Sus scrofa: one gene and its partners. The protein of the gene in region 1 interacts with the protein of each later gene in a pairwise test. Links are inferred from orthologs where the notes say so. Each region holds a gene or a part of one and is shown on either strand. Other genes may lie near its edges. The genes, in order: MTUS2, TXN2, DDX6, RGS2, CDK18, FCHSD2 and CTSZ.

Evidence for each region.
Region 2: the proteins of MTUS2 (region 1) and TXN2 interact in binary tests that used the Homo sapiens proteins (3 or more experiments, as listed by UniProt). The two-hybrid records come from large-scale screens. The link is inferred for Sus scrofa from reciprocal best matches to the Homo sapiens genes MTUS2 and TXN2.
Region 3: the proteins of MTUS2 (region 1) and DDX6 interact in binary tests that used the Homo sapiens proteins (3 or more experiments, as listed by UniProt). The link is inferred for Sus scrofa from reciprocal best matches to the Homo sapiens genes MTUS2 and DDX6.
Region 4: the proteins of MTUS2 (region 1) and RGS2 interact in binary tests that used the Homo sapiens proteins (3 or more experiments, as listed by UniProt). The two-hybrid records come from large-scale screens. The link is inferred for Sus scrofa from reciprocal best matches to the Homo sapiens genes MTUS2 and RGS2.
Region 5: the proteins of MTUS2 (region 1) and CDK18 interact in binary tests that used the Homo sapiens proteins (3 or more experiments, as listed by UniProt). The two-hybrid records come from large-scale screens. The link is inferred for Sus scrofa from reciprocal best matches to the Homo sapiens genes MTUS2 and CDK18.
Region 6: the proteins of MTUS2 (region 1) and FCHSD2 interact in binary tests that used the Homo sapiens proteins (3 or more experiments, as listed by UniProt). The two-hybrid records come from large-scale screens. The link is inferred for Sus scrofa from reciprocal best matches to the Homo sapiens genes MTUS2 and FCHSD2.
Region 7: the proteins of MTUS2 (region 1) and CTSZ interact in binary tests that used the Homo sapiens proteins (3 or more experiments, as listed by UniProt). The two-hybrid records come from large-scale screens. The link is inferred for Sus scrofa from reciprocal best matches to the Homo sapiens genes MTUS2 and CTSZ.

The regions. Positions count from the first base shown.
Region 1 is NC_010453.5:6,531,815-6,535,533, forward strand, and holds the end of MTUS2 (microtubule-associated tumor suppressor candidate 2), read left to right. Parts: intron 1-340; coding exon 341-554; 3' UTR 555-3,219; downstream 3,220-3,719. UniProt on the Homo sapiens protein: Binds microtubules. Together with MAPRE1 may target the microtubule depolymerase KIF2C to the plus-end of microtubules. May regulate the dynamics of microtubules at their growing distal tip.
Region 2 is NC_010447.5:11,263,320-11,267,438, reverse strand, and holds the start of TXN2 (thioredoxin, mitochondrial), read right to left. Parts: upstream 2,801-4,119; 5' UTR 2,764-2,800; coding exon 2,725-2,763; intron 1,997-2,724; coding exon 1,734-1,996; intron 1-1,733.
Region 3 is NC_010451.4:46,029,337-46,032,836, forward strand, and holds part of DDX6 (probable ATP-dependent RNA helicase DDX6), read right to left. Parts: intron 3,313-3,500; coding exon 3,211-3,312; intron 2,164-3,210; coding exon 1,988-2,163; 3' UTR 1,985-1,987; exon of another isoform or gene 1,957-1,984; intron 634-1,956; 3' UTR 1-633.
Region 4 is NC_010452.4:937,284-941,509, forward strand, and holds the start of RGS2 (regulator of G-protein signaling 2), read right to left. Parts: upstream 2,801-4,226; 5' UTR 2,785-2,800; coding exon 2,675-2,784; intron 1,608-2,674; coding exon 1,506-1,607; intron 1,406-1,505; coding exon 1,344-1,405; intron 814-1,343; coding exon 647-813; intron 362-646; coding exon 164-361; 3' UTR 1-163. UniProt on the Homo sapiens protein: Regulates G protein-coupled receptor signaling cascades. Inhibits signal transduction by increasing the GTPase activity of G protein alpha subunits, thereby driving them into their inactive GDP-bound form.
Region 5 is NC_010451.4:66,174,209-66,178,338, reverse strand, and holds the start of CDK18 (cyclin-dependent kinase 18), read right to left. Parts: upstream 2,801-4,130; 5' UTR 2,501-2,800; intron 1-2,500. UniProt on the Homo sapiens protein: May play a role in signal transduction cascades in terminally differentiated cells.
Region 6 is NC_010451.4:7,606,027-7,610,195, forward strand, and holds the start of FCHSD2 (F-BAR and double SH3 domains protein 2), read right to left. Parts: upstream 2,801-4,169; 5' UTR 1,928-2,800; coding exon 1,907-1,927; intron 1,492-1,906; exon of another isoform or gene 639-1,491; intron 295-638; coding exon 197-294; intron 1-196. UniProt on the Homo sapiens protein: Adapter protein that plays a role in endocytosis via clathrin-coated pits. Contributes to the internalization of cell surface receptors, such as integrin ITGB1 and transferrin receptor.
Region 7 is NC_010459.5:59,143,688-59,146,377, reverse strand, and holds part of CTSZ (cathepsin Z precursor), read left to right. Parts: intron 1-898; coding exon 899-1,078; intron 1,079-2,523; coding exon 2,524-2,674; intron 2,675-2,690. UniProt on the Homo sapiens protein: Exhibits carboxy-monopeptidase as well as carboxy-dipeptidase activity. Capable of producing kinin potentiating peptides.

The DNA of each region.
Region 1 (3,719 bases):
CTCTCCCAGCCTCTGGGCAGCACACCCCCACCAGGCCCCACCTCCCCCTCTCTGTTCGGTCTCTGTCCCCTGGACCAGCAGCGCCTCCCCAGACTGGGGCCGAGGGACTGCCAGCGGGTCAGGGGTTGGCCGAGAGGCTCTGGGAAGGCAGAGGTAGTGGGATGAGTGGAAATCATGAGTCAAGCCCGGTTCTTGGTCCCTGGGGTCCAGCAGGACCCTGTTCTCCTGGCACACAGCCACCGTCCCCTCCCTTTGCCCCGCACCCCTGGGCCGGCAAAGGTCAGGTTAAGTGCCTGCCGGCGTTCTTGCTACTTGACCGCTGCTTCCTCTCCCCGTGCAGACAGCTGTCGGAGGAAAACGCTAATCTGCAGGAATACGTGGAGAAAGAAACGCAAGAGAAGAAGAGATTGAGCCGAACCAACGAAGAGCTGCTTTGGAAGCTCCAAACCGGGGACCCGACCAGCCCGGTTAAACTGTCCCCCACGTCCCCTATTTACCGCGGCTCCTCCTCCGGGCCCTCCTCTCCCGCCAGAGTCAGCATGACGCCAAGATGACGCCACCACGCTGCGGGCGCAGCCCCGGCACCCGGTCCACGAGGGCTCCCACTTGCGGGGAGCAGGGACCACGGGCCGGCGGGGCTGGCCCGCGCGCGTGCGCAGTAGCTGCAGAGCTGCATCCTCTGCGCGCATGCCCCGTAGCTGCACAGCCGCATCCTAGGCAGAGCCCTCTTCTGACCCTCGTGTAAGACTGTCCTGGTGTTGGCACTTAGGAAAGTGTAAACGGTAGCGTCTGGCGTGCAAATGTTTGGCAGTAGTTAGAGCCAAAAGAAAGGAACACCCATTGTTCTTGAGCGATGAACTTTCACTGCAGAATTTCAGGTTAGTTACAAAGAGCTCGGTTTTGAATATCCATTGACTAATCATCCTGTACCGCACCGATCTGTGTGTACATTTAGATACACGTATATACACATGCAGCAGTTCTGAATCGCATTTTTTATAACATGAAGTGCTGACATATTTTGGTGAAGGTCAGCAGTTTTCTAACTTGTGCCTAAGAATTATTGGGAAACGAAAATGCATTTCTATCTAGCTTCCCAGGAATATTTCTACCCAAAATAGTAAAAGGAAAAAAAAAAAAAAAAAGATACACAGAGAAGAAGCGCCTTTCAACCTACCACCACGTGGTACTCTGTTTAACACAAACACCAGCCATTCGTGAACGGTAACTGCCTTTGGAACAATCAGCTTCTTAGTCAATATGACGTGAGGTCACTGTCACTCCATCTGCAAGTTTTAATGATTAACACTGTCGTGAGTGGATAAGGGGCAGCCGTGGGAAACCCTGAGGGGTGAGCGGTTTTGCAGATGGCACTCGTGACAGTGGATCATCTATGGTCTTGTAGACACAAGTTTTGCTTTTTTCTTAAATGGCATTTGGAATCTATCCTTAAGCTACTGCATCCTTGAGAAAACACGGAAGCCCATGATCTTAGAGAAGGAGGGTGAGAATGACCTTGGAGTCGGCCCAGACCACGCACGCTCCATCCTCAACAAGGAGAGCTGCTGCCAGGGTCTGTATTGTGACGAAGCAGGGCAGGAGCACATACTCTGGCATCCTCTTCACTTCGCTCGGATGTGATGCTGAGAATGGCCACCCCACTCAACCATGACCCTCGGCTCCATGTCATTGTCCCCCCCACACACACCTTTCGTTTGGTTGTGAAACCCAACCTCATCCCTGTACATTGAGATGCTCAGGGGCTCTAGCAGGGGCTTCCAGCAAACCAGTCCTCCTCAGTTCCAAGCCATGCTACGTCATCACGTGACTCCCAGAAACCCAGGTGTGTTTTCTGCTGGACGATCAAGCAAGGCCACAGCAGACAGTGGTCCCACTTGGGGCCCAGGAGGTTCTTTCAGAAGAGCCCCGACTGAAACAGCCAGCCTAGCGCTGCTGGCTTCTGGACTGGCATCTGTCGCTGAAACGGTAGCATTAGAACGTGAGAGATACTCCTGTAGTGCTGTGGACGATTAGCAGCATGACCCACGAAAGAAAGAAGTAGGTTCAACGTTGATACGCTGATGATAACGATGCCTCTGTCTACTGTGTGTGACAGAGCCCCTGCCCTTGTCTCCCGAAGGCCCCTGGAAATGGTCCTGGGCACGGGGCTGCCTCCGGGCACACCCGAAGCAGGCGGACTCACTGAGGGATGCCGCTTGGGCCAGAGCCATGGGGCAGGGAAGAAAGGGCCCTCAGAAGGCGTCCGCGTGCCCAGAGCCTGGCCTGCTTGGGGATGTGCGGCCTGCTCTGTGTTCCCCGAGTGACACACAGTTGGGCTTCCGGCCTGACATGCATCTCATTTCTAGCCCATCTCCAGGTCTCTGCCCACCCCGAGGACACACACAGGAGATACCCATTGACGAAACATTTCCATTTCCCGTTAGTGGCTCTGCATGACGCTGTGACACTGAGCTGGGCATTCCATTAGAGTAGCTCATGCCACACTGACGAAATACACAGATACTGAGTTCTTTCTGCAGGCACCACCTGCAGACACAGGTTCGGCAGTAGCTCAGCCTCCGGATTAGGAACTGCTTCCGTAACGGCACCTGCTCAACGCGGTTACCCAGCAATACAGATTTCAGTGTGATGTTAGCACGTGGTCCGGTGTGTTAGCCTCGTGCAGTCCGTCGTCGTGCTGTTAGAATCCCTCACCAGGTGGACTCGACCTTGGCTCTGGCCAGCCCTGACCTTGGCTACTCGAGCTCCCTCCCGCACTGCCCTGGCTTCGTCTCCTCGTCACAGACGCCCGTCTTGTGTGGCTCCCATCCCGGGACACACGAGGGGCAGCAGCCACGGCGCCCCTCACCCCGCACACCTTTGGGACCTGGACCCCTGGCGACGGGGACATCTCCCTGGCGTCTGCCTCCCGGGCTGGAGCTGCTGCCACGCAGAGACGCGGCAGCCTCCCCCACCTGCCTCAGACACACGCAGCAAGCCTCACCAACCACTTCTTGGCGTGTGAGCCCCTGTTGGAGCCCGGCCGCCCCCAGCCCACCCCACACCCCAAGGAGGTTCCTGCGGGGGCGGGGGAGAGGCTGGAGGCCCACGCACTTGGGGATGATGTGAACGGGGTCCCTCGGTCCTTTTCGGGCCCCTCCGGTTTCTGTGTTGCCTATCTGTGTTCGAAGCATATTAAAATGAACTTGAGGGACCTTCTGTGATACGCACTTGGTGTGACCATTGGCCTGGCCCGCTCAGGCTTCAGGGGGGCAGGCGGGCATGCGTCTGAAGCAGGGAGGCTGAAGGGGCTCCGCAGGCTGGGCTCCTCGTGTGTGTGCCAGGTCAGCTGGTCACTGGGTCTCGCCCTCCCCCGACCCCCATCGCTCTCCCAACTTCGCAGGACCAAGGTCGCTGCCTCGTCTTCCCAGCCTGGGGCCTTCAGCAGCCCTGCTTGGATTCTGGGGGCTCAGTGGCCCTGCCCCCGGCCCACACCCCATCCCAGGCAGGCTGGGGTGGGCTGGAGTTTGTTGGGCAAAAGACACAAAAGATTGAGTCCAACCCCCAACCACCCATTTCAAATTCCAACGGTGACCTGTTTCTACCCGAGCGAGCCTGGCCTGTCCTCGGTCGCGCCGGTGTGCGTCTGGGCACAGAGCTCTCCCCTGACAGTGGCCGCGGCGGGCCCTCCTGGCAAGGTGTCTGTGCCACAGCACTTC
Region 2 (4,119 bases), on another chromosome or scaffold:
CCAAATCATTCATTTGGGAAGCTCTCTCCAATGTGCTCAGCAGACCAGGAGGGCAGGACAGCTCTGCCTTCCACCAACCCCTGCCTGATGACTCCTAATTTTTTTTTTTTTTTTTGCTTTTTAGGGCTGCACCTGCAGCATATGGAGGTTCCCAGGCTAGGGGTAAAATCAGAGCTGTAGCTGCCAGCCTACACCACAGCCACAGCAACTCAGGATCTGAGCTGCATCTCTGACCTACACCACAGCTCACAGCAATGGCAGATCCCCAACCCACTGGCAAGGCCATGGATCCAACTCATGGATACTAGTCGGATTCATTTCCAATGCACCACAACGGGAACTCCCTGTGACTCCTAATTTATTCTCAGCTTTGAAGACCCTCTGCATTCAGAGATTTCAATTAATGAACTCACAACACCTAAAAGCCCCGTCTGCAAGACCTTAGCTCCTACCACACGTGAAGAAAGGGAGGCATAAGGTCATCACATGGCCTGCCCAAGGCAGCATGGTGAGTCAGAGAAAGAAGGCGAAGGAAAGCAAAAGAATCTGTCAGTGGTTTGCCCACAAGGTCTCCCAACTTCTAACTCAGGCTCCCATTTCAGGATGCCCCATTCTGTCGTAAGCCACACGGGAAATCCAAGGATGCCCTATTCTGAAAGGTTTGTCCAGTAGTTTTAGAACCAGGCATCCAGCCAGGCTCCAAAGGTCTGGAAAGGAAGAAGGCCAACAACAACAATAACAACCGAAAAAAAAAAAAAAAAGGCCAGACCGACAACCAGAATGCCATAGGCATTTAAATATCCTTTAAACAAACTCACAGGGCACCAGAAAGAAACTCCTGTCCATCCAGTGCACGCTTGGGCACCCAACTGTTAACTTTTATCAGTGGAACTGACAACTTTTTGCTAGCCCTTCTCCGCTTGGGTGGCAAGATGTTAAACACAATTATCTGCAGAGTCAGGAACTGGTAATATACCAAAAGCCAGATGATACTACAGCCTTATTTTTCCTGCTTTGGTCCAAGCTAAAGATGACCTGAGCCACTTGGGCAGTGAGATACAGAACATAACTGTTTCACAGCACTATTTGGAGTTTTTCTTTCTTTTTTTTTCTTCCTTTTTTTTCTTTTTTCTTTTACAGCCACCCCAAGGCATATGGAGTTCCCAGGAGGGATCAGATCCAGATCTGAGCTGCAATTGGGACCTACATCGCAACTGTGGCAACGATGGATCCTTGAACCCAATGCGCTGGGCTAGGGATCAAATCTGTGGCCTGGAGCTGCAGAGACAACTGCTGCCAATGCCGTTGTACCACCATGGGAATACCCACGGAGTGTTCTGAAGACTGAAGATTGTTTACTAGTCTGCCTCTTCCTTTCTCTTTTGGGCCTCACCTGCAGCATATGGACGTTCCCAGGCTAGGGGTCAAATAGGAGCTACAGCTGCCGGCCTACACCACAGCCACATCAACACCAGACCATTAACCCATTGAGCGAGGCCAGGGATCGAACCCACATCCTCACGAATACTAGTTGGGTTCTCAGCCTGCTGAGCCACAACGGGAACTCCTACTAGTCGGTTTCCTACCAAACTACACTAATCTTTGAGATAAGGGATTCGGTCTCACCGATCTCTATGTGAGAAGCATCAAACATAGTACTGAGACATAGCAGGTGCTCAATAAATACCAGAACAAGTGACACCCAGTCTTCTACTGACCCCCCCAGGACTCACTGTGCATGGAAATCCACAACCACTGGCGTCTCACTGTTGACAACTCGGTCTTGAAAGTCAGGTCCATCCTGGATGTTAAAGGTTGTTGTACAGACCTGGGTAGTGTATAATGACCGGGCTTGGCTGGGTGTTCCTGTCAGGTTACTAAGGCTGAGCTGTGGGGTCTGCAGGGCTCTGGAAGCGAGGGGTGCCCACCGACTATGAGAGGGCTTCCTGGAGACTACAGAGGCCAGGAACCTCCTCAGGAGAAGACGCTGAGCCATCTGTGAAGGGAAGAGGTAGGAAGAGTAGGGGCAAAGAACAGGAAGTCAACACACCAGAAATCAGAAAGGTATGTGGGAGTACCAGGGGGCTCAAGATGCAGGGCCAGAAACAAAATGTTGGGAAATAATACATAAGACTTCTGGAGGAAAAGTGAGTAAAGAATGAGAATCAAGGGGAAAAAGGAATCGAAAACCAGGATGGGAAAACTAGGTCGACAACCCAAAAAGCAGGATATTGGTGAAATTACAACAGACGGAAGGGGGGAAGGAATCAATATTTATGGAGCACCTGCTAAGAGATAGGTATCTTACAGGCATTAGAGTCCTCCCAGATCAACGATGAAGAAGTTTCTACTGTACTACTGCTCATATTATAGATAAGGACTTAGAAGCTCAAGCAAATTGTGACATATCCAAAGCAACCCAATTATTAAAGGAGAGTCGACACTAGAGCCCACGACAGTCTGAAAAGTCCTTACTCTATCGATTACTCTTTTAAAAGGAGTTTTAATGGGAAATTAAAGACAAAGGAGAGTTGTCAAAGGTTCAGGAAAGAAGACAAGCAACAATTCAAATAGGAACGAAGTGACACGGGAGCAGGTGGGGGGGGAATTAATAAAGAAGGGACGTGTGTGTGGAAGGAACTGGGAACCCCGGCTCCCCGAATGGCAAGTTCCTCCCACCCAGGGTTTCTGCCCGCTCGGCCATCGGCCTGCATGGGAACGCGCCTGCAGAGGCGCCTCAGCCGCGATACCACTTCGAACCATCCCCACAGGGCCCCTACCTCCCAGCAACGAGAGCGAAGCGACGCACAGCACGGCCCGCCCCACCGGTCAAGGGCACTTCTGTCGTCACTTCCTGAGGGGCGGGCCTTAGCGTCACTTCCGGGAAAGGCAACCTGAGCAAGTCCTCAACTAGAGGGCAGGCACGGGCGGAGCCTCCGTTAGGGACCGGAAGAGAAGCGTTCTTGAAAAGAGACACCGGAAGATGGGCGGGCTCTTAGGGGAGGAACCGGAAGAGGGGCGGATCATTGGGGAGGGACAGGAAGAGGCCGGAGGGCTCCGGAGGAGGGTCCGGAAGAGGAGGGGAAGGAGGCGGGAGTGCCAGGGAGGGGGGGGGGCGGAGAGAAGGGCGGTGGGGAGGCGTGGTCCTCGAGTTTGCAAACACTTGCTGACCAGCATGTCCACCCTTTTGTCTCATTGTCCTAATGTCGCTTCGAAGCAAAAGACTTCAGTTGGGAGTCCAGAGAACGCTGACTCGTATTTGTCATATGTGACTGTATAACTTCGTGGTTTCGAGCAAGTCTTCCTGCCCTTGGGGACTTCAGTTTCCCAAAATGTGACATGAAAAGCTCAGCTTGTCTTCCACCCTTGTCTCTTTGGGATTGCTGAGAAACTGGGCCCAGACAAGATGCCAACTGGTAGTGATACTTGGAGGGCCTGCCTCTGAGGCCCCAGGCAAAGTGTGATGATCCCTGAATCTACCTGGGCCTGGGCCTTCCTTTCTCACCCATTGTCGCTGTCATGGACAACAGGAGTCTAGGCATTTGTGTGTCTCAGGCTGGTCTCACAGCCACCCCTTGTCTCCCTTGCACCCTTTACCTATGTTAGAGCAGGAAAGGGCTGTGGGGTTTCAGAGCAGAAATAGAGGCAGAGAGTCCAGAGCGTTGAGGCTTCAAGTAGGTTTACTGAACAGAAGATGGCCAGAAGCACTGAGAGAAAGCACAGGCTCCCTGGTATTAGCGGGGGAATAGGTTTTATAGAGGCTTGTGGCTAAAGTAACCAGTGTCAGGGCTGGCATCAGGCTACATGGGAGGGGTAGGAGGAGAGGTGAGGGGTTGTAACAATGTTCCATGATATGGTGGGAACTGAAGATTAGCAAAGACAAAATGCAGTTAGGGCAGTCATCATTCCAGAACAGGCTGCTCTTGGTTGAACAAGATAAGGGAGTCGGCAGTTTGAGGGATTAAATCTGGCTCTAAGACCTTACAACCACTCATAACTTCTTATGGTTCTATGAATAAATCAATGCTTCTCCCTCCTCCCTGCCTTTGCTTAACTTGAAAGCCTTTTTTCTATGTCCACTCGGTAGAACACCTACTCATACTTCTTGAGCAGCATTAA
Region 3 (3,500 bases), on another chromosome or scaffold:
CATTTACTAATACGTTTCATCTTCCAGCCCTGGGCTTGAGTATCAGGTAGAAAGGGAAGAGATAAGACTTCAACTTGAAACCAAAATGAAAAGACAAAAATTTTTTAAAGAAAAAAAAAATTACTATTGTTGATTCCTCGGGCTCTGTCTAAAAGATGATATTCTGAATGGTCTCATAGCATAAGGCACTTCGCACAAATAAGTAATAAGCTCTTCAGGCTTAAAAAACGGATGAGTAACCAGGGAGAAGTTGAAATGCACTCAAGAGTCAGCTGTTGAAGAATTCTGAAATCGTAGACAAGCTTGTGTTCATTAGGATTCTTCTCTTTTTAGGGTTTCTCCCCTTCTCTTCTTTCTTCTCCTTCCTTGTCCCCCTTCCCCAGAAAACATTAAAAAAACCAGCAGTTAGTGCAACTAATGTTCAGTCAGCACACAGTGCAAACAAGTGGAACAAAAAAGGTAAACTCCTTTTCAGCTTTTTTCTCTTCACCAGTTAAAAAAAAGAAAAAATGAGCTCCTTTAAGTCTTCATAGTTCCAAAATAAAAGAAGATGAAAAACCCACAAAGAGAAGAGTATCCCCCCAAAAACAATGTGTCAGAGATCCAAACGAGCCTTCTGTAGTTTGACAAAGCCTAAAGGAAAAAGGGAAGAAACCTAAAATTAATGTTGTGAAAGCAACATGAACTCAGATATGTAGATGTTCACAACCCCCATCCTAAATGCTCTCTACAACAGCTCCTATTGAGCCTTTGCCTATTACAGAATCCACTCAGGATTAAGGAATTTCTGCTAAGCATGCCAGAGACAGAATGAAAGCCTGAAAGTTCTGATAATAGGCAGTAGTCACCCACAACAAATTTAACTTTTCAAAGCCTTACATGAACTCAACTCAAACATTCATTAGCTAGTTTTATGTTCGTCTGAGACTTCTGTGTTTAACATTTAAATTAGGGGAAAAAAAGACTGGCCAACAGGGACTTGCTGTAGAGCACAGGGACCACTACCTGATATTCTGTGATCATCTATATGGGAAAAGAATTTGAAACAGAATGGATGTCTGTGTGTGTATAACTAAATCATTTTATTGTATAGTAGAAATTACTAAAACATTGTAAATCAACCAATACTTTATGAAAAAAAATTTTTTTAATTAGGAGAAAAAGGTTAAGGTGAAGAGAGTAATTTGAAATATCTAAAAATAATAGATCAAATGTTCACTGCTAACTTGTAAACTATTGTCTCTCAAATTAGATTTTCCTTAAAAACAAAAAACTTCCAAAGCAGCCCTCATTCCTCTATATTTAGTCTTGTTGTTTTAGGGGTTTTTTTGGGGGGGGGGGGGTGGCCACGGCATGCTATAATATCTGAGTCAGGGATTAAACCCAAGCCACAGCAGTGACAAATGGTTTCTTTACCTGCTGAGCCATCAGGGAGCTATGTATGACAAGCCTTGTTTTGAGCATATTTCTACCAGAATCCAAGATGAGAGGGTAGGTGCAGAAAACCAGAGTGGGTATTTAAAATAGGAGTTATCCTCACAACCTGATTACTCATTTAGCAATGAGGAATTATAGGTAATTTAACCTGATTTATTAAGGTATTCATTCAAAATTAAGAGTGAACACTAACAGAGAGGACTGAGTGACAGAGGATAACAGCAAAGATGTTTTCATACTCAAAATTGCTAAGATTCTTTTTTGCTTTCATTATTTTAGAAGTCTGAATTTGTTTCAAGTACTGCACACATACTACATTACTTAGGAAGACTGCAATTCAAAAATAGAATTTATAGATTCTCCAATAAGACCACAACTTCAACCAAGATACTTCCTGTTTACTGTCATTTATGCTGAGAGGTGTTTCAACCTTCACTGCTAATTATATACAGTACGACATCAAATTTCCCCCAGGAAAAAGGACCTTCATTTCTTTCCTTTATTAAACATTATGCTCACTTATCTCTTCTGTCAGGTATGCACATACTTGTTAAGGTTTCTCATCTTCTACAGGCTCGCTGTGGTATTCTGCCACATATAAGCTCTTGTCAATGTTGCTTGGGATAGGTTTGATTTCTGTTCCCAGCTGCTCCTCAATACTTTTCAGGTTGAAGCGATCATCATATGTGATCAAGTTGATGGCTAAGCCAAGATGACCAAAGCGACCTAACAAAAAATTTTATTTAACAAAAATTAAATGTGAGGATCAATGTGCAAGCACTAGTCTGTAAGTGGTAAAACTATGTAGGGTTAAAGTTTTGGGGGCCATTCTGAGTATATGAACCCTGATCTGATGGTCCCCTTATAACACATTATAGTAACCTCAGGTTTCACAGCCTCCAGTAGTACTTCTTTTATATATATATATATTTTTTTTGTCTTTTTAGGGCCACACCCCTGGGCACATGGAGGTTCCCAGGCTAGGGGTCCAACTGGAGCTGGACCTACACCACAGCTGCAGCAACATGGGATCTGAGCCACATCTGCCACCTATACCACAGCTCATGCCAACACTAGATCTCTTAACCCACTGAGTGAGGCCCAGGATCAAACCTGCATCCTCATGGATACTAGTCAGATTTACTTCCACTGAGCCACGACAGGAACTCCAGTACTTCTATTTTAACTTTTTCAAGTGAAAAAAGGGGTGCTCATTTGTGTTAAAAATTGCCAAAATATACATGCTCAACAGTACAATTACACAAGTGAGATTCTCATTTGAGAATTTTACCTCAAAGTAAGCATAAAGTTATTTTACCTCTAATAGATATTTTGGAAAAAATAGAAATTAGTCATATATTTATTTATTTATTTATTTTTGGTCTTTTTGCCATTTCTTGGGCCGCTCCTGCGGCATATGGGAGGTTCCCAGGCTAGGGGTCTAATCGGAGCTGTAGCCGCCAGCCTACGCCAGAGCCACAGCAACGCGGGATCCGAGCCGCGTCTGCGACCTACGCCACAGCTCACGGCAACGCCGAATCCTTAACCCACTGGGCAAGGGCAGGGATCGAACCCGCAACCTCATGGTTCCTAGTCGGATTCGTTAACCACTGCGCCACGACGGGAACTCCCTAGTCATATATTTATATACCAAACAGCTAAATTAGTTTTAATTCACTGTTCTAGTTGCTATCACACACATCTTCACAAAAGGAACAAAATTTAGTGGTTAAACTCAAAAAGTTCCACAAAGAACATCTTCCTTTTCCTCACCTGATCTTCCAATTCGATGGAGATAGGTCTCTGCCAGCTTTGGGAAGTCAAAGTTTATTACCACATTCACAGCTTGTATATCAATACCTCGGGTAAACAAATCTAAAAAACAAACAAAAAACTCCATTAGATCTTCCAATTTGGTGCCATAATACCCTTTAGCATATTTTCTAATATAACCTAATTTTATTCACTTCATTAACTTTAAAGTATTTGCAAATTATTGGCATAACTTTTCATGCACATTGCCATAAGCAGCTTTCTACTCAGAAGCTATCCTTTTCCAGTCC
Region 4 (4,226 bases), on another chromosome or scaffold:
CTGGCTTCCTGACTCACTAACTCCGAATCAATAGTTCTGAGTGATGTTTCCTCAACACCCAGGCTGAATTCAAGGTCAGTCTTTTCGGCAGGTGACAGCCTTTCCCCTTAGGAAACAAAAAGAAAAAAAGCAATGTCCTCGTTGCGGGGCTCCCGTTTCCATCTCATGTGGCATGGGGCTCTGTGGTGATCTGCGGCGGCTTCCTACACAAGTCTTGGTAGAATTCAGACTCCAAGAAACGGGGATAAGAGTTGTTCTCCATCAAGCTGTACACCCTTTTCTGGGCAGTTGTAAAGCAGCCACTTGTAGCCTCTTGTATGTTTTGGGCAATGAGAGTTTTGGTTTGAAAGTCTATGTTTATCTGAAATGAAACAAAAATAGCGGTTTACTGCATATTCAGAGGTGGAGACTGACGTCTATGCGATACATGAAAGCAAATGAACAAGCAAAAGACCTCCAAAACCATGAGGGGCGGAAGAGGTGCCCCAGCCGCCCCCGTAGAAAGGTCATTCATCTCGCTGAAAGCCAGAGGGGAAAATATTTACCCCTCCTTTTAGCTTGAGGACTCTTCTATTCTTTCGTTTCACTCTGGTGCTAAGAATGTTCAACAGATACGGAAACAAGGACATTTTTTTTTCCTCCTTACCTCTTTTGGAGCTTCTTTTTCTATGAAGTCAGTGTATATTTTCCTGGCTTTGGAGGACAGCTTTTGGGGTGACTTTGTTTTTTTGAAGTCTTCACAGGCCAGCCAGAATTCAATATTTTCTTCACAGAATTCAGATTTCAAAAAAGCTCTGAATGCAGCAAGACCATCTGGGGGGCAGAGGAGAGGAAGCATGAAGAACGTGAACTGAGGGACCTCATAATCCCTTCACTTTTCTCCTAGGCCTCCCTGGCCCTGGCCCCCTAATTTTCTTATCTCTAGATGAAAGCAAGATTTCTAGATTTCACTCCCGCTTTAGAACTGAGCTCTTCAGAGACGAAGATGCCAGTCTGCAAAATGCTTAAGGTGGCGCCCTGCTGTGCTCAGCTTTGCTGTTGACCCAGCCGTTTACGGGGGAGCTTTGGTTCTCTGTGTGAACTAAGCCTCTTGAGAACACTGTATGCAATGGAAAAGCTGGCTCAAGCTTACACCAAGGGCCATTCCAGTTTGGCGCTGATTTTGCGTCCCACCTGGAGTGAATAAGCCCTGCGTTTCCAGGGATAATCCCCGGGAAACGGCGGGGGAAGAAACAGGCCTCAGATGCTGGAGACAGTAAAGTCAAACTCCCTGGGGCCGGATGCTCCTCCTTTCTAGACGCTTGGGCTCCTTGAAAAGGACCAAATTCAAGGGGTTAACTCACATTTGCTGGCTAGCAGCTCATCAAATGCTTCTGCCCACAGCTGTGCTTCCTCAGGAGAAGGCCTGCAAGAGACGGTCACATGTCAGCTCACACCTGTCTGTTTCCCCCTTCTGTTCAGCAGCTGGTGGCCTAGCTTTGCAAGGACTGAGATTTTCAACTTACTTGATGAAGGTTTGCGGTTTGCTTTTCTTGCCGGTTTTGGGCTTCCCAGGAGAGGAGGAGTTTTGCAAGAAGTAGCTCAAACGGGTCTTCCAATCTTTTAATCTTAAAGAAGAAAAAAAAAAAAAAAAAAAAAAAGACTTTTACTAAGTGCCAACACTTGAAATGGCCACACCACTGCAGCTAAAGGTTTTTTTTTTTTTTTTTTTTAAACCAAATAAAGTCACTCCCAGTAGCTACAGACAACGAAGTAAGACAAAACAGTCCTCCTTCAAGTCAGTCTTACCCCTTTAAAATATAAACCCAGCACCTATGCCTGGAACAGTTTCATCTACTCATCTGAACATAACTGCTAGTTTTATAACTACGCGTAGGATAACCTACAATTATAGGGTATTTAATGAATTTAGCTGGCATAGTTCAAAAGGCAGATGCTATTTCTGGCCCACAAAAGGCAGCAGCAGTTCTGCAATGTTAATTACAATTCTGAGACATTTCACACTTGATGAAACGGACAGTGGAACTGCCCGGAGCCAGCCATGGGTATTTCCCTTCCACCCTTAGAGCAGGAGGATCTGGACCACTCTAGAAGCTGTGAACAATGAGGTGAGGTGCGTGTGCGTGTGTGCGCGCGTGTGTGATCGCAACTACAACACCCATTTTAACCAGATGATGCAGAACAATTATTTGTTCCTTAGTGCTGGGTGGGTGAGATCTGTTGTTAAACTGGAAAAAAAAAAGATTTTAAAATAATATATTCAGAGCTAGCAAAAATATTTCCATCCCAGCAGCTGTGTAAGTTGATGAGAATTTACAATGCAACGTACGAATGCTGGGGACGCGCCTGGGCTGCAGGATTCTCTGGTGTCATTTTCGATGCGGGGAGATAAAAACCCAACCTGCGATTCCTCAGCTCATCTACCACCGCCTCTGCATCACGAATTTGCCGCAGTTCCTCGACTCTACCCTCGAGTCCTTCGGTTACATCACAAAGGACCCACCACATAGATTTAACCCTACCTAGCAAGTGTATCTTTTACACAATGTTTTCCCCTGCAGAGATGGAGGCACCGCTCCAGGGTGGAAGCCAAGCGCGGATGTACCGCGTTTGCAGCCGCCCGGGACAGCTAGGTCCGCGGGGCTGGCAGGGGAGAGAAGAAAGCCGTACTTACAGGGTCCGCTTCATCTTCTCCCGCTTCTCCTCGCTTTTGGGGCCGGTGCCTGCGCTCTTGTCCATGGGTCCGCAGTCGTGATGGACAGTCAGGAACATAGCACTTTGCATTATCGTCTACGCTCCCGGGTGCCCGCTCTCTGCTGCCAGGAGCGCGCCGCGGTATTTATAAGAGTCGGAGGCTCGTGGGCGGCGCCTCACGACGCTGGGCCCGCCTTCAGCGGGTGCCGATTGGCCGGCTGGCTCCGGGCCTGGGGCGGAGTCTGCGCAGTCCCGGGCACCGCCGAAGGGTCTGGAAGGGAGGGCGCCGCTGACGTTTGCGGCCGCAGCGTCGTGCGCAGGCGAGCCCCCCGCGGCGAGGCGCTGGGGCTGCTGGTGGGGGCCGAGGAGTTTCCCTTCGGGCAGCCGCCGGAGGCCTCTGCCGGCTTGGGGCGGCCGGCGGGGTGGCAGAGCTTGGGAGGCGTGGGGCGGGTTGGCTGCAGGCCCCGCGGGGCGCTCGCCCGCCCCTCCCCCTCCTCGCCTCCGTCCCCTCCCCCACGCGCACTTGCTCCGGACCCCAAAGGGAGGGGGGAGTCCCCAGCAGGTCAAGGTTACTTGCTGGGAACCTGAGTGCAGTTACTCGGTTTTGAATTCGGATGTGTTCCCTCTTTTTTTGGAGCGCACACCCTCTCCCCGCGCCTCCTTTCTTGGTCTGTAAACTGAGGCCGCGGGGAGATGCTCACCTGCTCCTCTTTTCGTCACCGATTCATTGGCGGAAGGAAAGGGAGAAGGGGGGGCGGCGCAGGGGCGGGCGGTGTGACCTGCTCTGCAGCTTCCCTGGACAACTTGGAGAACGTTTGGGAGGGACGTCGTCGGTCAGGGGAAGGAACAGGAGAAGAAGTGCTTTACCTGGGTGTGCAGTTTTAGTCACCAACACACACGAGGCTGGGTCGGTCCTTGGGGTTGCGTGCTCCTCCTCTGGAGTACTTGGCTGCTTGTCCTTAGGGAACACACGGGGAAGTCACAGATCTCCTTCTCAGGACGTAGAGGGAAACACCAGGACCTCGCAGCTGTCATTTTAGTGTAAGAATGCAAAGATGCAGGATTTCCTCATGAGTCATTCTTAGTCGGCCTAGAATTTACCAGAACATTTACTTGGCAAAAAGGAGAGGTGGGGGTGGAGGGAAGGCTAGGTTAACAGTTTGCTTGAAGGAGCTTAATTTGCTAAATTCTTCAGAAATTGTCCTGCTGTAGCACGATTTAAACGGTTTGATTGGTAAGGACGAGTAGGTGACCTCAACCCCGGTGTGATCGGATAGCGAACAATTTTATTAGATCTGTGCAGTGGAATGTTCAAGGGGTTTTCCTGCCAAGCATCGAAGTAGCAGGGAGATGAACCACAAGGTATTAGGCTGCAGAATTCTCTCTCCTTTGCATTAGAACTGTTAAAAGAAAATTGGAACTGGTTTACCATATTCTGATGAGGAGCTGCCAGTAGCTGGAGCTCCAGGATTGACTTGGAGAGCAAAACGTTTCTATTACTAAAGAGAACAGCCATGTACTCAGCTATGGAG
Region 5 (4,130 bases), on another chromosome or scaffold:
ATTTAGCATCTACTGTGTGCCAGGCACTGTGTGTTACTTCGTTGAACTCATATAACAACCAATCATATGATGATCTCCATTTCACAGATGAGGAAACTGAGGCTGGAAGAAGCTCAGGAATTTGCTGGAGTACTTGCTGGAGCTGGATTCCACCAGGGGCCTCGATTGGCCCTCTCCTTTAGTTCCTAAACTCAGACAAAACAAGGTGACCCCAGCAAGTACAGGCATGGTTGGGACAGGGGCCGGGAGGAGCCAGGCCAGGCTCTGCCCTACAGCATGGAGCTGTCTGCCTGGGCGCAGGAAGGCCCAGTCGGCAGAGGACAGTCTGGGTCTGCAGAGAAAACAAATGCAGCTGTAAAGGCAGCTCCATCTCAAGGCCCAAGGGGGAGGCTTCCCAGGCAGGCAGCCCCATCCTATAAGGTCTCAGACCAAGAACCTACTTGTTCCTCAGATCCGGTGCCCTCTCTCCTGTGACCCAAGCCTGGCTCTGCCTGGCACAGGACAAGTGCAAGCCTCCTTACTCAGCCAGCCCTCCTCCCTCCTTCTCCTAGGATCCACATAGAACTCGACAACTTCAGAGTGGGCTGGGATCTCCCTTAAGCGGGGAGAGACTGAGAGCCAGGGGGCCTGAGGTTAGAGGAAGTGGGCTGGATCCCACCTATGTGGATCTGGGGAAAGTTGGCGTCTCCGAGTCTCTGTTTCCACATCATAAAATGGGGATAATACCTACTTTGTAAAGCTGTGTAACACACAGCTTGGCACCCAGTGGATATTCAATAAACAGTAGCCACCAAGGCATTCAGAAGTCAGATGTAATTTACTGACGTCTACTCTGGCTTTGGAAACCCCAAGAGGTTTGGGAAGAATAAGGGCTCCTGGCAAGGCACCTAGCGGGCTGCGAAGTTGCAGGCCTGGGGGGGGGAGGTCAGCCTCACAGGCTCACCAGCTGCTCAGGAGGTGACTGGGGCAGGGTAACCCAAGACAGTAGCTCTGCTGTGGCAAGGTGACCCTCTCTCCAGAACACCTTCAGGATGCTGACCCAAACCCAGGAGCCGGGGTTGCCTGGGGCCCTCCTCGCCTCCCCCGCAACTTTAAGCAAGGTGGGTGTCCCAGCCTTCTGTGGAGGCCAGACAAAAGGTAGGGGGTTTCTGAGGACAAGTCTGTCAGCCAGACATTCCAGGCGCTTCGTCCTTGTCCTCGAGGATTCTGCTCCCTCAGGCCAGCGTCCAGGAATGTGCTGTGTGCCCAGTGGAAAACGCCAAAGGAACATGCCGAATCTCACAGGGTGCTGACACAGGAGGGGCAGGCCGTGGTGTCAGTGAGTCACAGGGCCCAGGCCACAGCTGGGGAACTGCTGAAGGCTGGGCTGGGGGGTGGAGGGTGGGGGTTCTGGGGAGCAGACCCTCCCTCCTCACAGCCCCAACTCTCCCACCCTTGCTGTCGGGATGGGATCAGAGAGAAGAGGAACAAAGCCACCGGTGCCTAGCAGGGTGTCGACCCGCAGCAATGGAAAATCGGTCACTGTCTGAAGGGCCAGATCCCCACCACAAGGCCTGCAGACAGCGCCAGAAACCCCTGTGTGCACAACAGGGAGAGAACCGAGGCCTCCAGCCCACAGCCGACTTCAGATTTCTGATTCCTGATCATCACCAACTCCCCCCACCCGGCCCCCAGAGAGCAGAATTCTCAAGCCACATCTCCAAACAGGCCACTCACTCTTTCCCACTGCTGCATTAACCCTTTCCTGGCTGCTGGGGGATGGCACTGCCCCTTTGGGCTCCCAGGTAGGCAGGGAGAGAAGAGGCACAGGAACCCTCAGAGGCCCCCACTCGGCACCCCCACCCCTAACACACACACACACAGCCAGCCCCCAGCGCTGGAACCTGCAGGGCTTCACCTGTCTTTCCACCTTCACCCTCCAGGACCCTGGCCTTCCCCCCCCCCCCCCCCCGCCCTCAACTTGGCGCTCTGGAAAGTTCACCAGAGCCCAGAAAGCCCCTCGAGGCGGCGATCTGGCTCCACCTTCTCAGGTTCTCTCATTACCGGAGACTCCTGACCCTTGCCCTTCCCAGACGGAAGGACGCTTAGAAAGCTCTTGCTTCCCTGCGGGGTGGAAAAACTTTGCTTCCTAGGAGCCCGGGGGGCCAAAGCGAGTCCCGGTGGAGACTCCCGGCGGAGGAGGTGGGGGAGGTCTGAGAATGCAAAACAGTCCTTCCCTCCTAAACACCTGGAACCCGGGACTGGCCTTGCCAAGGCATCGCCACCCTCCAACACACTTGTCCTCACGCCTCGTGATCTCCGACCTTCCCCCGGCGCCCTGGTATTTCCCTCCAACCTCCCGCCCCAGGGCAAAAGCAGAACTGCGCCTTTAAGAGCCGCTCCGCTTACCTTTGCTCCGTTTCCCCGGCGCCACAGTGCCCCCTCCTCCGACCTCCCCTTCCTCCCCCGGCGCACCGCCCGCCCTGCCGGACCCACACTGCGCTTCGCCCGCGGGACTCACCGCGCGTGTCCTGGGGCCGCGGCGCGCCGGCTCCCGCCCGCGACGGCCGGGCTGCCGCGGGGCTGGGCTCTGTGCCCTGCGCCCTGCTGGGGTCCCTGCCCGGGCTCGGGGCGGCTTCCCCTGCTCCGGAAAGGTGAGCGGCTCCCCAGAGAAGCTGCAACCTGAGCTGGAAGAGGAGGAGGAGGAGGAGGAGGAGGAGGAGGAGGAGGGAGAAGGGGAGGGGAAGGGAGAGGGTGGAGGAAGGTGGGGAAGAGGAGGGAGGGGGGAGGAGGAGGAGGAGGAGGAGGAGGAAGGGAAGAGCCCGGCCCCCGCCAGAGTTTTTCACACGTACAAGTTGACTCCTCCCCGTCCCTCCCGCCCTGCCCACAGCCGCTGCCAATCCCTGGGGCTCCCTCTGCCCGGGTGCCCACCCTTTCTCCCACTCTGGGAACCAGGGTCCAAGTGCCTCTTCCGGTTTCGTTCCTAGGCCTGGCCTGCGGGACTGGCCCTGAGAGCCGTGACTAGGGATGAAGCCCTCCCGACTGGGGCACCCAGGACCCGGGCCAGGGCAGGGGCTGGTCTGCTGTGTCCGTCTCTACGTGTAGCTCACCTCCCTTCTGAGTCTGATCCTGGATCCCAGCGACTGGCACCCCAGGAGCTAATGTGCACAGACAGGTCCTGTTGGTCATTTTTGCCTTTAGAGCTCTTGACAACAGTAGTCCTGGCAGGGCTCTCCCTTCCCCCTGTCCAGTGGGATTTGTCACCTACCTTTAGGGAGGAAGCTCCCACCTAGTTGACCCCACCTTTCCAGGGCCTGGAGGAAGCTTCACTTCTAGCCATCACTCCCACTTCCTACCTCGACAAGTAATTCAGTTTGTCCTTTTGCAAAATAAGCCCCACAGACCAAGTGCTAATCATCCAAGAAGCCTTACCGACTAGCTACTGCCAGCCCAGCTTTCATTTTAGAGAAGGGGAAACTGAGGCCCAGAAAGGGTATTGGACTGGCCCAAAGCCCCATGAGGAGTTAGTGGCAAGCCATGATTAGGACCGAGGCCAATGGCCACGCCACCCCCGTCATCGGACTTCAGGGATCAAAGGAAAACTGAGATGGGATGAAATAGCCCATCCAAGCCCCTCCCAGCCCTGCTTCCTCCTGAAGGCTGTGAGGAGAGGAGATGGTGCCATGGATCTGATGGGCATCAAATCGGGGAGCTCCATGGTCGCTGGTCGCCAATGAGTGTGGCCTCTGCAGACTGGGGGCCCTGGCAGGGATCTCTTGAGGAGGCGTGGTCCGCTGTGTGGATGGGTTTCTGCTGAACCCTTTCTGACGATTGCTCGGAAGTGACTGCCTTTCTTCAAGTCATAGGCTTTGAGCCTGGCATCTTTCCCTAGGGAGAACAAGTTGTTGAGAGTAGGAAAAATTCCTTTCTGGAAGACATGGGCCTGAGGTTTGCCCTCCAACATCAGCCTGTATCCACAAGCTCTCGCAACTCCACGGGGCTTGGACTCGGGAGCAGGAAGGAAGACACTGAGCCTGTTAGGAGAGTGACTTGGTAGTCGGCAGGGGTACCTCACAAAGGGCTCCCAACTCTTTATCTCTTTTCTCTGCCAGGTCATACAGATTTCCCAGGGATGCTAATAAAACTGCCGA
Region 6 (4,169 bases), on another chromosome or scaffold:
TGGGTTTCTCCACTAATGGAAAAAAAGTTTGTATTGTGTTAGTTCCAGTTATAATTTCTAGCTGAGTCAAAGCTCCAACGGCCTTAAAGCAGGAAATTCAAAAGGAAATTCCATCTTCAGTTCCTGGGGCTTGGGAACTCAAAGGTTCTTTTAAACAGAGATACAGAAGTTCTCAAACTATTTACTATAACCTTACCTCATATCTTCAAGCAAATCACATTCTGCTTGATGTTTGGCTTGAAGTTTTGTCATCTGCTCAACTTGAATGTTTTTCAGTTCTTGTGTAACTTTCACCTAAAACATATCATATATTTATGAGGCCTTACTGAAACTTTAACAACAACAACAAAAAATCTCTTAAGGAAAATACTTAATACTTGTCAGAATATATAACTCTTGCTTGCTTCTCCCCTGAGGACCATAAATCCATTATGAGCCATCTAATTTTGTTTATGGCAGGTACTTAATGCTCAATATACAGTTAGGTCTTAGAGTTTTAAGAGTCTGTCATCTATTTTCTCCAAAAAGGATTCAGACATTAACCAACCAGGAGAGGTGAGCAGAGTGTGGGTGGGAGAAGGGGCCATACAAATACCTCATATCTAATGATGGAAATTTTCACAATCATGAAATTATACCTTGAATCAACTATGTAAATGATTCCATAATGGCTTCAGAAAGCACACTCTCCGGATGATGCCCCGGACTCGCTGACAGCACATCAAATCGCAATCTCTTTTCTCACAAAGGAGAAAGCAAAAGTGACCTTCCAGCATATGCCGTGCTTTTCAGCCACCCCGGCAAGCCCGTCCCCATGGCGTTTTCACTTCAAACAGCTAGAACAGCACATGCAAGCCGGCCAGTGCCTCGCCAGCCAGGCCCGGATCCAGGTTGCAGGGGGCCTGGAACCCCCACCGCCAGATCGGGGCTACGGGAGGGGTGAGAGGACGTGTGTGAAAGGAACAGACTCCCTTCACTGGAAAACCCAGGTTGAGAATGAGAAAGAAGACGCAGCAGACACCAGTGAGTTCGGCATTCAGCAAATGTTTGCCCACAAGGGGAGGAGAGAACAGCCTCCTCCACCCAGAGCCCGGAGGAGACACTCAGTAACCTGCAGGATTAAAAGACAAGGACGCCGCCTCAGTCCCTGGGAAAACTGGGCAAGAGGGCAGTGAAAGAGTTCTGGAAGGGCAAAACGGAGGAGCTACTGACACCCGTCACTCCCACCCCGAGCCCAGATCGCGGTGCCCACGCCACGCTCGGCCCGGTTCTCGCTCTCCGGGGGGCAGAACCACCACCTTCCTCGCACCCGAGTCGGAGGGGCGGGGCAGGAATAGGGAAAAGAAAGGCAGGCCGGTCCATGCTTCATTGCTTGTTTCACCCTGGGGTCGGGTGACCACTGCAACTTCTTCTCGGTCGCCCCGTGGGAAAAGTGGGCCAAACCTTAAGGCTAGGCTGGAAACAAATTCCCTGTAAATCTGGAAACCGGCAAGGGTGGAGACAGGCGGGCGGAGGGCTTAAACCTGGTGCAGACTAAACAATCACACAAGCACCAGGCTCCGCAAAGCTGCAGGGGCTCCCCCACCTCCCCTCGGCGCAGCCCCGAGAAAACACTTTGCAGAGAGCAGCACTGCCATGCGCGCTCACACACACACACACCCAAATGCACAACCGAAACTCCAGGGCAATGTCGAGAAGGGGGTCTCCGGCGCGGTCGAGGGGACCAGCCCGGGTCGCCCCTCCGTCGCGCCCCCCGCCAGGAGCCGGCGGCAACTCAGTGACAAGCCCGAGACGACGGCGGTCACAGCCCCTGGCGCAAAGGGGGAGGGGGCGCGGCGGTGGCCCCAGCCGCGTTCCCTGCGCCCATCCCCTCCCAACCGTCAAAGACCCCCAGCTGCATCCTCACCTTCCTCGGCGGCGGCTGCATGATGCTGAAGGGACATCAATCCTCCTCCGGCGGCGGCGTTGGCGAGGCAGGGAGAAGGAGGGCCGAGAGGAGCGGGCGGCCCCGAGAGCCGGCGTGAGCGGTAAGCAGCGCCTGAGAACCAGCACTCGGCCCGGAGGGAGCAAGGCCGGCGGACGGCAGGAGGACCCGGGTCGCGGGCAGAGTGTAAAGAGAAAGAGGAGGAGCGCCGGCAAGGCCTGGGCTCCGGCGGCCCGGGGGTGTGTGAGGCGAGGAGGCGGGGACCGCGAGGGGGCGGGGCCCGGGAGCGGGGGCGCAGGGTCTCCCAGCTCGCGAGCAGCTCGCGACGAGCGGCCGCGTCGTCCGGTTCCCGGCCGCCGAGGCTCCCCGCCCGCCGCCCGCTCCGCGGCTCCTCGGACGCGGCCCCCCTGCCGCCACTCAGGCGGCCCGGCCCTCGCTGGGCCCAACGCCCCCGCCCGGCCGGGGGAGGTGGGAGGCGGCGCCGCGCTCTCCGCTTCGCTTCTTCCACTCAGGCCGCGGGAATTTCCGGCCCCAGCGCGCGACGCAGCGCCCCACTCCGGCGGCGGAAGGGACAGCTCAGGCCGGAGCTGGATTCTAGGGCCGGGCCAGGCTGAGAGGAGCGAGCGTGGCCGCGGCGCGGGGCTCCGGATCGCGGGCCGAGGGACGGGGGGAGCTAACGGATCGATCGGCGACTCAGAGGGGTAGAAACGCGACCGCAGCCCGAGGGCCCCCCCGTTCTCTCCGAGAATGGCACGTTCCAGACGCCTCCTGGCCCCCCTCCCCCACTCCGCGAGCCGGCCGGGGGCTTCCCGCGCGCTTTCCCGCCCGCCCGCCGCGGCGCGCCTGCGGTCGGGGGCGCGCACGTGGGCAGGCGAGGGCTCTGCGCCGACGCACGCGCGTAAGCCGCCGGTGCCTCCTGCGGGCGGCTGAGACCTGCTGAGCCCGAGACAGAGAGAAAGAGCGAGAGCGGGTGTTGCTGTGGGGAGCGGGCAGCATGTCTGTATGTCTGTAGCAGTAGGAGAGTCCCGTTCTTTGCTTCATCTCGGCGCTGCAACACCCCCCTCCCTTCCAGCGGGATAAGCCTGGCCGGCCAAGGCACCAAGGGGCGGGCGCAGACAAGTCCTTTCGCGGCTGCTGCGGGTGCCTGGTTTGGGCGGGAGCGGGGACGTCTAGTTGCCCTGCGGAGAAAAAATTGCCTCTCTGCTGCAGGGCGTCTAAGTCATGAGCACAGACTCTGCGCTAGAAGACCGCGAGGTCGTTAGAGCCAGGACCTCCATTTGAGGCCGGAGGAGTGGAGACTCTCTGAAGGTTACACAACAGGGCTAGACTGGGTGGGTAACTAAGCGTTGCATGGGTTATAAAACAGGTGCAGATGATAACCATGAGGAAGAGTAGAGGAGGTGGCAGGGTCAGTGCAGGAAGCCCTTGAATGGAAGTCAGGATGCCAGTCGATCTGCCTGCCCCTGATTGGCTGGGCGAACTCAGGCTCCCTCATCTGCCCCGTGAGGACGCTCACCAGGCAGCTCCCTCCATCCCACCTTACTCCTCCATCCAGACCATCAGAGGTTAGGACTCTCAGCCTCCCTTGATGTCCTTAGAGGAATGAAAACACCTCTTCCGGAGCCTCTAGGTCTGGGTGAAGGGCGAATCAGAGAACCCCAGTTTTATCAGAAGTTGGGGTCTCAAACACCTGTTCTCAGAAGAGTAGTCAGGCAAAAGAGGAAAGTGAATGAAGCCCTAGGAAGACCCGAGGAACTTGCCCAAAGCCACTTGGCTAGAAATTGGGAAGATGTAAACCTAGATTGTTGGCATTGTTAGCCTAGATTCTTGTACAGGAAGGTGATAGAATTAGAGATATGCTAATAACTAGAGTCAGGTTAATCTAGGGCTATGTAGGAGTTGGGAGACCAGACTTGCTGTTTCTGGTTTCCTCGAGGCCATTCAAAAGTGAGACCTTCCCCAGAGCCCTCAGTTACTATCGGGCAAGGCCTGGGGCAAGAGAACAGGTGGTGGAGGCCCAGCTCCCTGACAGCTGTGGGGCCAGCAGCTAGAGCCCAAGCTGGGCTCCAGTCTCAGCTCCACCATCAACTTAATATGAGACCTTGACCTAGTCAGTTCACCTCTTTCAGCCTTCATTTCCTCACTTGTAAAAAGGGGAAATAGTGCCAGCTTCACAGGCGTTTTGTATTAATTAGAACTTCTCCTACCGCAGGGCCTTAAATGCTCGCTGATACATCATTTATTC
Region 7 (2,690 bases), on another chromosome or scaffold:
CAGGGGCACTGCCCGGGGGTTGGCAGCCAGGGTGAGGCTTCAGATGGGTAAACTTCAGGGAGTTCCCTGAGGCAGCTGTTATTTCCTGCGCCTACTCCGCGCCAGGCCATTCGTTCAGGCACTCGGTCTACGGCCGAGAGCGGAGGGCGCAACACCCTGGCAGGTGGAGCGCTGATGAGAAGCTGAGGGCCAGAGTTCGTGTGTCAAGTAGTGGCAGCTGGAGGGGCAGCGGGCTGGGGAGGGGCTGAGGGGCGGGGGGGGAGGCGGCCAGCGGGGGCTTCTGGGAAGGGCCCTGGGGAGGCCTGAGGACAGGGCTGGGCAAGGGGCGGCCGCAGGGGGATGCCGTGGAGGGGAGGCCGCCGGAGGGAGGGCTGATGACCTGCTGCGGGTTCCAGCAGGCAGGGGCAGGTGGCCTCAGGGGTGGGAGGGGCCCTGTGGTGTGGCCACGGGCTGTCGTCAGGGGAAGATCCAGTGAGTTCCGACTTGGAGGTGGGAGCAGCGTGGCTGTGAAATGGCCTTGGTGGCCCTGGGGGACTGGAAGGTGACGTGAGCGGCCCGGGGAGGAGGGGCTGAGGGCCGGTAGGATTCTCGCGCGTGACAGGGAGACAGGCTGGGTGCCCCTGGCCGCCCCGCGGGGGCTGTGGCCCAGGCACCGGGGGAGTGAGAGTGGGACGCGTCTGGCCCTGGTCTGTGGTCCGCGGTGCCCGTGTCCTGGCTCCACCACAGTGGGCACAGTACCCACCTCGCCCTGCCCGGGGGGCACTTGGAGCAGGTGACACGGGCATCAGTGCTGGGAAGGCCCAGGAGGCCTCTCTGGAGAGCAGAGCCCCCAGGGGACGCGTGGCACCTGGGGTGGCTGGGCGGGCAGTGCCAACAGGCTTGGGTGCTGCCCTTGCAGACAGAATCAACATCAAGAGGAAGGGGGCCTGGCCCTCCACGCTGCTGTCTGTGCAGCATGTCATCGACTGCGGCAACGCCGGCTCCTGCGAGGGGGGCGACGACCTGCCCGTGTGGGCCTACGCCCACCGGCACGGCATCCCGGATGAGACCTGCAACAACTACCAGGCCAAGGACCAAGGTAGGCCCCGGCCCTCCCCGCCTTCTCAGGGCCTGTGGCCAGGGCGGGGGGTGGGGGGGGGAGCGGGACAGAGGCCGGAGCCCCCTGCCCCTTAAACCTGGGGGCTGGGTCCTGTTGGGGAGGGGGTCTGGCCTGTGTGCTCCGTGGCCAGGCCCACACCTGCTTTTTGGGATCTGAGGTGCTGATGTTTGGGTGGCTTCACGGGCCTTTGTAAGGCGAATGCTTGTCCAGGGTGAGTTTTCCAGGAGCAGGCGGGCGGGGGGTGCAGGCGGGAAACGGGCAGGCTGGGCGGGAACATGGCCTCGGCCTGCTTCTTGGGCGTGGCTGGGCCGCAGCATCCAGGCGGGTTTGGGGCAGACGGCGCTGCGTGGATAGCGGATTCAAGCTGGCCAGGGATCACTGGGGTTGGCACACTCCTTTCAGGCCGCTCCCCTTGGAAATCAAAGGCAAGAAAAGGCTCAAACCCCAAACCCTCAATGGGCAGTTTGAGTGGCCTGTCCCTGTCAGCTATCTGAGACGGGAGTGGGGAGGCCCTGGGGGCTTTTCTGCTGGCAGGAACCCCCCCCCAGACTGGTTGAGTGGTAGAGAACCCACGGGAGGCGCCCATGATGAAAGGAGCGGCGAGGCATCCCTGCCCCCGCCCAGGGCCCAAGGTCAGAAGTCCTTGAGGCCGCTCTGCCCAGAGCCTGTCCTGGGGGCCCCGGCCAGGCCCCTCCAGCCCGCCGAGCACCCAGGCCGGGTGGAACACATTGGCACCTGCTTGTTTGCCCTGCGGAGCCTCTGTAGGAGCAAAGGCGGCCACAGATCCACCTGTCTTCAGGCTGCACTGGGCATTTGATGTGCCCAGGGATGAGTTAAAGCAACAGTTTCATCCTCGAGTTTAATGTCCCCAGGGAGGGTGTGGACTGACAGGAAACGGACAGAAATCGGTCACAGGGACAAAGTAAAAACTGGGGCCACAGGTCCGAGGCCGGATCGACCCAGAAAGAAGTGACACTGTCCGGGGTCCAGGAAGGACACAGGTGATGGTTTGGAGTCTTCCAGATGCTTTTTCTGTTTGTTTTGAAGCCTAAATCTTGATACCTCCTCAACCCCAAGTAAGAAAATGCTTGTTTTCTCCCCCCAAATGTTTCGTGCGACCTATTCACCAGCCAAGCATATAATCTCATGAAAAGCTAATTTAATGACGCTATTTTCAGCTGTAGAGCATTGTGGAAGGGCTTTGCCCTGGGCTGGAAAGGAAAAGCCAAGCTCCTGAGTGGCGGCGGCTACGGGCTAGTTAACGTGGGTCTTTCGGAGGCGGCTGGGGAAGGGCTCGCCTCTCGCCCCTGCAGCTGAGAGTCGAGCAAGCTGGTCTGGGTTCAAGCTGGTCTGGGTGCAGTGTGGGCCTGCCGGCAGGTGAATGAGGGACCAGCCTCACGCTGACGTTCCGCCCTGTCCCCCAGTGTGTGACAAGTTTAACCAGTGTGGAACGTGCACTGAGTTCAAAGAATGCCACGTCATCCAGAACTACACCCTCTGGAAGGTTGGCGACTACGGCTCCGTCTCCGGGCGGGAGAAGATGATGGCTGAAATCTACGCCAACGGGCCCATCAGGTGAGGCGCTGGCACA